2 linked regions of the Macaca fascicularis genome follow. The protein of the gene in region 1 interacts with the protein of each later gene in a biochemical or structural test. Links are inferred from orthologs where the notes say so. Each region holds a gene or a part of one and is shown on either strand. Other genes may lie near its edges.

Region 1 (4,300 bases):
AGTAGCTGGGACGACAGGCGCGCACCACCACGCCCGGCTCATTTTTGTATCTCTGGTAGAAACGGGGTTTTGCCATGTTGGCCAGCCTGGTCTCGAACTCCTGGCCTCAACTGACCTGCCCGCCTCAGCCTCCCAAAAGTGCCGGGATTACAGGCGTGGGCCCCCGCACCCGGCCTGAAGCTTAGTTATCTAGGGACACATTTGCTTTGGGCACCAAAAGAAAATCTGGATGAGCTTACACAAATGTGGGCCACTTACGCCCAAAAGCAAGAGCACGTGTCCGCAGTGCCAGGGCAGAGGTGGGTCCTGTTTTTATTTTAAATAAGTGGAATGAAGAAGCACATTCAAGAAAAGGGGAGGCACAGGAAAAACCAAAGACACAGGAGTTTCTGAAGGGGCTCGAGAAGGAACAGGGCTGGGAAAAGGCGGAGGAAGAGTTGGCGGTGGGGTGGCAGGTAGAGCAACTCCCTCCCTCGTGGGAGGCTCCCTCCACCTGGACGGCCACACGAAGCCTGGGAGGAAGCCCAGCGGGACAGGGCCAGGGGCTTCACAGAAGCCAGCCAGAGCTTCACTGAATGGTCATGAAATCCAAGGGAGAGAAACAAAACTCACTGGTTCTGAAAACTATGCTTAGAAACGTTCGTATCACAGAGCCCACTCATAGCACTCTCCTGTAACTTCTCCCGTGCAGAACCAGTACAGTCCGCTCCACCCTCCGTCTCACTCGTGGGGCGGCATCTGCATGAGGGTGACCCCTCTCACAACCAAGAATGTTAACAATATGCTTCTAACCTTTATGATTTTTCTGGGAATCTGAAAAGAGCCGTCACATCAGCAGACGTGTTTGTTGAGATCACAGTGCAATAAAACAGAACTGTGTTAAGAGGTGACTGTTGAAAACCAGAATTGCAAGAGTACAGCCTGAGCCACCGTCCACCTGGACCATCTGATCCGCACTCTCTGCCCTCAACGGAGCCAGACAGAAGATCTCTACTGGGGCCGAGCCCCAAGCCCGGTGGGCGCCGGAGTCAACAGGAGGAAGACCTCAGCCTGGGGTGAGAGGGACCCTGTCGTTTCCGACCCCTGTGGCAGGCGGGCCATCACCACCTCCGTTCTAACAGAATGAAGTGCCTCACCTGACAAAAACTGCTGCGTGTCAAAGAGCTTGCAGGTCTGGTCTCTCTCCAGCTTGTTGGGCCTGTCGCTGCACAGCGCCAGGGGCCCGTCCCAGTAGATCCGGCTCTGGCAGAGTCTTTTCGCGTAGAGCCCGTCGGGGGCCATCCAGAGGACCACGCCCCTCTCTAGGTGGCCCAGCAGCTTCTCAATGTTCTTCCTCTGGCCATTGTCCTCTGGGTAGGGGAACAGGACCTGGTCCAGGTTGCTGGCGTCGTAAGTATGTCCATGGGAGATCCGGCAGCCCTCGGGGCTGGACGTGGTCAGCTCCTTCACGAGGATTTCCCGGTAGTACAGGCAGATGTGCAGCCGGCAGTCTGCAAACACAGAGCTCCGGGGTCAGTGCTGGGGGCCAAGGACACCAGCTTGAGGCCAGCGACTCCACAGAGCCAAGCACCTGCGGTGGAACTCTACTGTCCCACAGGCTCTGTGGAGGAACAAAAGGTTCTGGCGTGCAGGAGGCCTGGGAGACGCCACATGCCCTGCTTCCCCCCGAGATCAACACTTAGAGAAATCCCGTGGAAAAAACCCATTTAATTCGTCTAAACCAGCATATTTCAAACGTATGTGGCCACAGACTCTTTTTGGAAGGGACGAGTGTGTCTTTCATTAATTTTCTGGAAAAGTAAGTTGAATTCAGGTTATAGATCATCACCATTAAGAACTTACTAAGTCTTATTGTGAACGATGCTGATGATAGTGGTGATGACATTTAAGTCATGTGTCACTGAATGAAAATTCATCTTTAAGCAAATCAGTTTTTGCTTTGGTAAGAAATGAACCCTAAGTTTAATTTCTACTAGCAAAAAATATGACGGTGTTTCAGAAAGAAGCAAGTCTGTCCACAAACCTGAAAGGTCCTCAAAATAATAATATGACATCATTTAGGTAAAAGCAAGTGTGTGTGTGTGTGTGTGTGTGTGTATACATATATGTAAGTTATACATATAATTAGGTGCTTATTTATGTCTACATAGTTTATATATAAACATACACACACATATACACATTAAAGGGTAAGTACTAAGGCCTTAATGGTGATTTCTGGGTGGTGGAATGTGACGTTTTTATTTTCCATTCTTGTTTTTCTGATTTTTAAATTAGTTTTCCACACTGGATATGTGATGTTTTTATCACAAAATTAATTCTTGTGAAAAGAAAGAAATTAATGAGAAAAATGCTCTAAAAGTTCATGTAAAGTCTGCTGAAATTCCCACTGGGCTTTGTGTTTAAGTTTGAAAAGAACCCTAAAACTCTCTGAAACTTTAAACAAGATGAATCCATTTACAAACGTTTGGCTGATTTCAGAAACCTCTTTGAAACATCGCCCATGAGTTGAAAGAACCAAGCTAGGTTTGCATAAGCTCCTCAGCCAGGCTGCAGGGGAGCGGCACAGACAGGGGCAGTCGCCACTGGGAACTGTATGGGACCCCACAATCAGTGGGAATCACAGTTCTCTAACAAATGTGCTCATGGCTGATAATTAATCTGTATTATGCATACCAAAAAAAAAAAAAAAAGAAACCCACAAAACTGTCTTATTCCTCAATAGCAGGTTTTGAGACTTAACCCACATCACTGTCTCAATTCTCTGCTTCAACACATGGAGAACGAGTCAGACAGTGCGCCCCAAAGAGAGTGGGTGTTGGCCATTCGAGGTGATTCTCGGGGCAGGTTTCATTTCATTTAATGTCATCAGAAATCACGAGGTTGCAGAGATATAAATAGCTGTTTATTTCCTACTCTTCAGGCACCCACACAAGTCTTAGGTGTTCAAGAAAAGGGTTTGAAAGTTTCTAAAAACAAACACAAGCCTTCCTGCTCAGAAGCACCTCCTCCCAAAGGGCATCCTCGGTACTCACGAGCATCTCAGAAAAAAAGGTGCAAGCCTCATTCAGAACTAGAAAGAGCGGGCAGGTAAAACTCCAGCCCCCGTGTGCAGCCGTAGTGCCACAACTCTCGTCTCCCTGAAACCTTCAGAATTCAGTTAGTATTTTTCATCACTGATTTTTAAAGATGCCAAAGGGCATGATGAGAATTCCAAACCTTAAAAACAATCCAAAATATTATCTAAAAAATGAATAGACATATAGCACATATGCTTGGCAAGTCTAAGGGTGCCTTTTTTACAACAGGTAAGATCTCTATGATGCAGGACTTTTTTTTTTTTTTTTTTAAATAAAACTTAAAAATCAGGTTGAATCCATATTTGTTTGCAAGCGATATGAAAGACCAAAATGTGTATTACTTTTAGGCATATGTCATCGAGGGACCAGAACTAATGTCCCCAGGGAGCAGAGGAGGAGGACTCATTTATGGCTCAACCCGGAAGGACGATCAGCCTCTCCAAATGACGAGCCCTTCCACACTTCCGCACGGAGAATGCTGGCTGGAGAGGGGCCCTTGGTAAAGGAAACTGGAGTGTTTGCACATTCCTGGAAATTCGGAGAGGTGCCAGTGACGAAGCCAGAACGACTCCATTCAAGCCAGTGGCTGAAACTGTCAGCAGAACCACAAGCAGTGATGCTGGGTCTTTCCAATGGTGCTCCTAGTTCACTCTGGTCACCTCATGCACAGGATGTGTCCACATCTACTCCAGACCCCAGGGGGAGCAAAGCAAGTGTCTAAAGTCCCATTGAATCTGCCCAAAGATGACAGAGCTGGCGGCAGCAGCCGGCCTCCTGCGGTGCCTCCAGAACCAAACCCTGCACTCACCTGAGAGCGCCAAGGCTTCGGCAGACCTTATGCTTGGCTCTGTGGGGATTCCTGGAGCCTGGGACTCAGGTGGGGCACAAGCATAAAAGGTTCCTGTCACCTGGCAACCTGCATTTGCAAATAAAAGTCAGATGATGTCTAGACAGAGAGTCCGACGCACTGCAGGGCTTCCTGGGGTGTGTGTGTGAAGCCTGGGAAGGAAGGGGCTGGCGCCCAGTCACCTTCCCGCCCACTCCCAGCACCAGCGACTAGCAGGGCACACTCTTGTGAGGCAAAGACGAGCCGGAGACCAGCTGGAAAACCAAAGCTGAGGGAGAAACGAGCCAGTGCGTGGCTTTGAAAGGAATCTTGGAGCGCTCTCTCTGTAACTGACCCACAGGGAGGCTGAGGCTCAGAGACAGATGACGTGATT
Region 2 (3,990 bases), on another chromosome or scaffold:
TGGTTTGGGGCAAATTACTTAGCCTTTGGTGCCTTATCTGCCCAATAAGGGATAATAATGCTAATAATAATAACCTACCTCACTGCATTATTTTGGAGATTAAATGAGTTCATAACACTTACAAAGCTGAGCATAGTGCCTGGCTCATAGCAAAAGCTGTGTAAGTCCAGTCGTGGATCACTTAATGAAAGAGCATTTTCTGTCCTTAGGCAGTTTCATAGTTATGCGAATATCATAGAGTGTAATTACACAAACCTAGATGGTATAGGCTACTATACACTGAGGCTATATTGTGTAGCCTGTTGATCCTAGCTTTAAACCTGAGCAGCATGATACCGTTCTGAACAGTATAAGGAAATAGTTACATAATGGTAAATATTTGTGTGATACGAATTTTCAGCTTGATTATAATTTTTTTTTTTTTTTGAGACAAGGTCTCACTCACTGGAGTGCAGTGGTGCAATCTTAGCTCCCTGCAACCCCTACCTCCTGGGCTCAAGCAATCCTCATGCTGTTGTGCACCAGGATACTCGGCTAATTCTTTTTTAAGGTTTTTCTGCAGACAAGGTCTCACTTACTGCCCAAGCTGGTCTCAAACTCCTGGGCTCAAGTGATCTTCCCACCTCAGCCTCCCAAAGTGTTAGGATTACAGGTGTGAGTCACTCTGCCTGGCCTTGATTATAATCATATGGGATCACTGTGGTCTGTAGCTGACAGAAATGTCGTTGTGTGGTGCATGACTGTTTCTGTCCTGCCCCTGAGAGCCACTGTCACTTCTCTGCTGTGTTGATTTTTGTTTACTCATCTGTTTTGGCCTTGAGATGGCCTAGACATTTTTCTTCCCCAAGTATAACACCCAGGTGCTTATTAACTCTTAGTCAAGGCACAACATCTCCCCTCCCAGAAGGTGAGGCGGGAGTGAGGACTTGGGGACTTAAGAACTATCAAAGTTCAGAGTCCAAAGAAACATTAGAAATTGGCTAATCCACCCCCGTAACACACACATTTTACAGATGAGAAGACTGAGCTCAGAGCATAGAAATAGCTTGCCCAAAGCCACTACTAAGTCAGGATAAGGAGGTGGAGCTTGTTTCCTCACTCAGTGGTCCTGACTTTGCACCACTTTGCCTTTGCCTAGCCTGCCTTCCTCTAACTGTGCTCTCCCTAATTCTAGGCCTCACCTGCAGATGCCCCCCAGCCTGGGCCAGATGAGCCTGTCCTTTGACCAGCCTCACCCCCAGTGAGTGACAAGGCCCCTCCTGACCCCATGTGCCTCTTCTTTCCTGGCCTTGCCCCTCCCTCCTTATTTCCGTTGCTGGTTCCTGGCAGGGGCCTGCTGCCATGCCAGCCTCAGGAGCATGCTGTGTCCAGCCCTGACCCCCTGCTCTGCTCAGATGTGACCATGGTGGAAGACAGCTGCCTGAGCCAGCCAGTGAGAGCGTTTTCTCAGGGCACTTGGTGAGTGGCAGCTTAGTAGTGGAGGCTGGGTGGCATCTAGGGGAGTGGGCGCCATGCCTACTCCACTGCTTCTCCCATCTCCTTGTAGGATTGGTGAAGACATATTCCCTCCTCTGCTGCCGCCCACTGAACAGGACCTCACTAAGCTTCTCCTGGAGGGGCAAGGGGAATCGGGGGGAGGGTCCTTGGGGGCCCAGCCCCTCCTGCAACCCTCCCACTATGGGCAATCTGGGATCTCAATGTCCCACATGGACCTAAGGGCCAACCCCAGTTGGTGATCCCAGCCGGGAGGGAGAACCCAGAGAGACAGCTCTTCTACTACCCCCACAGACCTGCTCTGGACACTTACTCATGCCCTGCCAAGCAGCAGATGGGGAGGGTGCCCTCCTATCCCCACCTACTTCTCGGTCAGGAGGAAAAGACAGGAGAATGCATGGTGGGTGGAGCCAATCCACTCCTTCCTTTCATCATTCCCCTGCCCACCTCCTTCCAGCACTGACTGGAAGGGAAGTTCAGGCTCTGAGACACGCCCCAACATGCCCGCACCTGCAGCGCGCACACGCACGCACACACACATACAGAGCTCTCTGAGGGTGATGGGGCTGAGCAGGAGGTGGGCTGGGTAGGAGTACAGGTTAGGGCATGGAAGGCTTCTCCGCCCACTCTGACCCAGGGCCTAGGATGGTTAGGCAGGAACATACAGACACATTTACGCTAGAGGCCAGGGATAGAGGATATTAGGTCTCAGCCCTGGGGGAATGGGAAGCAGCTCAAGGGACCCTGGATGGAGCACAGGAGGGGTCTGGACATGTGGTTACCAATACAAGTTTTGCCCTGATTAAAAAATCTCCCAAAGCCCCAAATTCCTGTTAGCGAGGTGGAGGCTTCTGATATGTGTATGAGACTATGCAAAAGTACAAGGGCCGAGTTTCTTCATGTATAGCTGTGTGAACGTGTATGTACCTAAGATATGTTAATGTATAGCTGGCATGTTAGTTGCATGACCACATAGAACATGTGTCTGCTTTTGCCTGTTTGACAACACAAATTTGGGAGTGTGAGACATTGCACAGAAGACAGCAGCAAGTGTGCTGGCCTCTCTGACATATGCTAACCCAAAAATACTCTGAATTTGGAGTCTGACTGTGCCCAAGTGGGTCCAAGTGGCTGTGACATCTACATATGGCTCCATATCTCCAATGCTGCCTGGGAGCCAGGGTGAGTGTCTGGGTCCAGGCCTGACCATGTGGCCCTCCAGTGTATGAAGGGGCCCTGCCTGCTGTATCTTCTCTGTTGCCCTATCCACTGCCAGCTTCCCTTCACTCCCCCATCCCATGTCACCGTTTCTCCCTCTCGAGGCAGGGGTCATAGATCCTAAGCCATAAAATAAATTTTATTCCAAAATAACAAAATAAATAATCTACTGTACACAATCTGAAAAGAAAGACGCTCTAACTGCTCAGATAGGTGCTGCGGTCCAGCCCCCAGCTGGAGGAGACCCTGAGTCCAACCCAGGCCTCCCAAGGGGGCCAGTGAAGGGATCCCACACCCACCGCCCCCATGTAGGGCAGGAGGGAGGAAATTGCAAAGGACTTGGGGGATAGATGGGAATGGGAGGGCAAACTGCAGCACTTGTTAAATTAAAGAAACAAACCAGAAGCACAAAAACGGGGAAGGAGAGGGAAGAAGGAGCAGGTCCAGTGTTCCCAGGCCCCCAATTCTGGGGGCAAATGTTGCCACTTTTAGCTGCTGGACCTTCCCAGGGAAGTCCCCCTTTCCCCCTTGTCCAAACTGAGTCCAACTGCTCACACCACAGGTGCAAACCTAAAGAGAATGGGAGTGTGTCGTGTGAGGGAGGGGAGAACCCCAGATGCCCTTGGAGGCAGAGTCCTTGCCCCCTCGCTCTGGGCAGGGGTGAGGGCACCACGCACCCTCCTTGTGTCCTCTCTCCAGGCCCCTGCTTGTTATTGCTTGAAGCCCCACAGTCTTATGCCCATGGAGCAGGTGGGGAGGCAGGAGAAGGGCAGAGGAAGGATCCAGGGTTGTGACTATATTCCGGGGATGGAGAGCATGGGGGTCTGTGTGAGCCAGAAGTCTGAGGTCCTGGGTCTGAAGACACCAGTCCACCCCTCACTGCCGGCTGGCCTCAGCCTCCACTTTCACGCTGCTCCTGCGACCCTCCACCAGTGCGGGATGGGGTCCTGGGGCAGGACATCTGTCCAGCAGCCCTTCCTCGAACTCTGCAGGGAAAAGGGGGCAGTTAGGAGACTGCAGGGTGACTGGCTGCAGACAGAAGTGGTTGGAACAGAAGCAGGGGCAAAGAAAGTTGTGAAGATGGGCTCCGTTTGTTGAATTACTGCTTCCTGCCCACTGCATGTGTATGGGGGGTTCCATTCCTGTGTGTGTGAGCCCCCTCCCCTCTCTGGCTGTGTGTAGCTCTGTCTCTGTGTCTCTCTCTTTCTCTGTCTCTCCCGCCTCCTCCGTTGTGCTGGAATTTCTGGTTCTGTCAGGAGCTGCGGGGGTGGTTTGGCT

The links. The genes of interacting proteins can lie anywhere in the genome.
Region 2: the proteins of IRF4 (region 1) and STAT6 form a complex in vitro, tested with the Homo sapiens proteins (2 studies listed by BioGRID). The link is inferred for Macaca fascicularis from reciprocal best matches to the Homo sapiens genes IRF4 and STAT6.

Annotation. Positions count from the first base shown.
Region 1 is NC_088378.1:172,684,802-172,689,101, forward strand, and holds part of IRF4 (interferon regulatory factor 4), read right to left. Parts: intron 3,997-4,300; coding exon 3,889-3,996; intron 1,491-3,888; coding exon 1,137-1,490; intron 1-1,136. UniProt on the Homo sapiens protein: Transcriptional activator. Binds to the interferon-stimulated response element (ISRE) of the MHC class I promoter. Binds the immunoglobulin lambda light chain enhancer, together with PU.1.
Region 2 is NC_088385.1:63,893,592-63,897,581, reverse strand, and holds the end of STAT6 (signal transducer and activator of transcription 6), read left to right. Parts: intron 1-1,174; coding exon 1,175-1,240; intron 1,241-1,329; coding exon 1,330-1,458; intron 1,459-1,546; coding exon 1,547-1,736; 3' UTR 1,737-2,903; downstream 2,904-3,990. Other genes in the region: NAB2 (NGFI-A-binding protein 2), read right to left, coding at 3,589-3,698. UniProt on the Homo sapiens protein: Carries out a dual function: signal transduction and activation of transcription. Involved in IL4/interleukin-4- and IL3/interleukin-3-mediated signaling.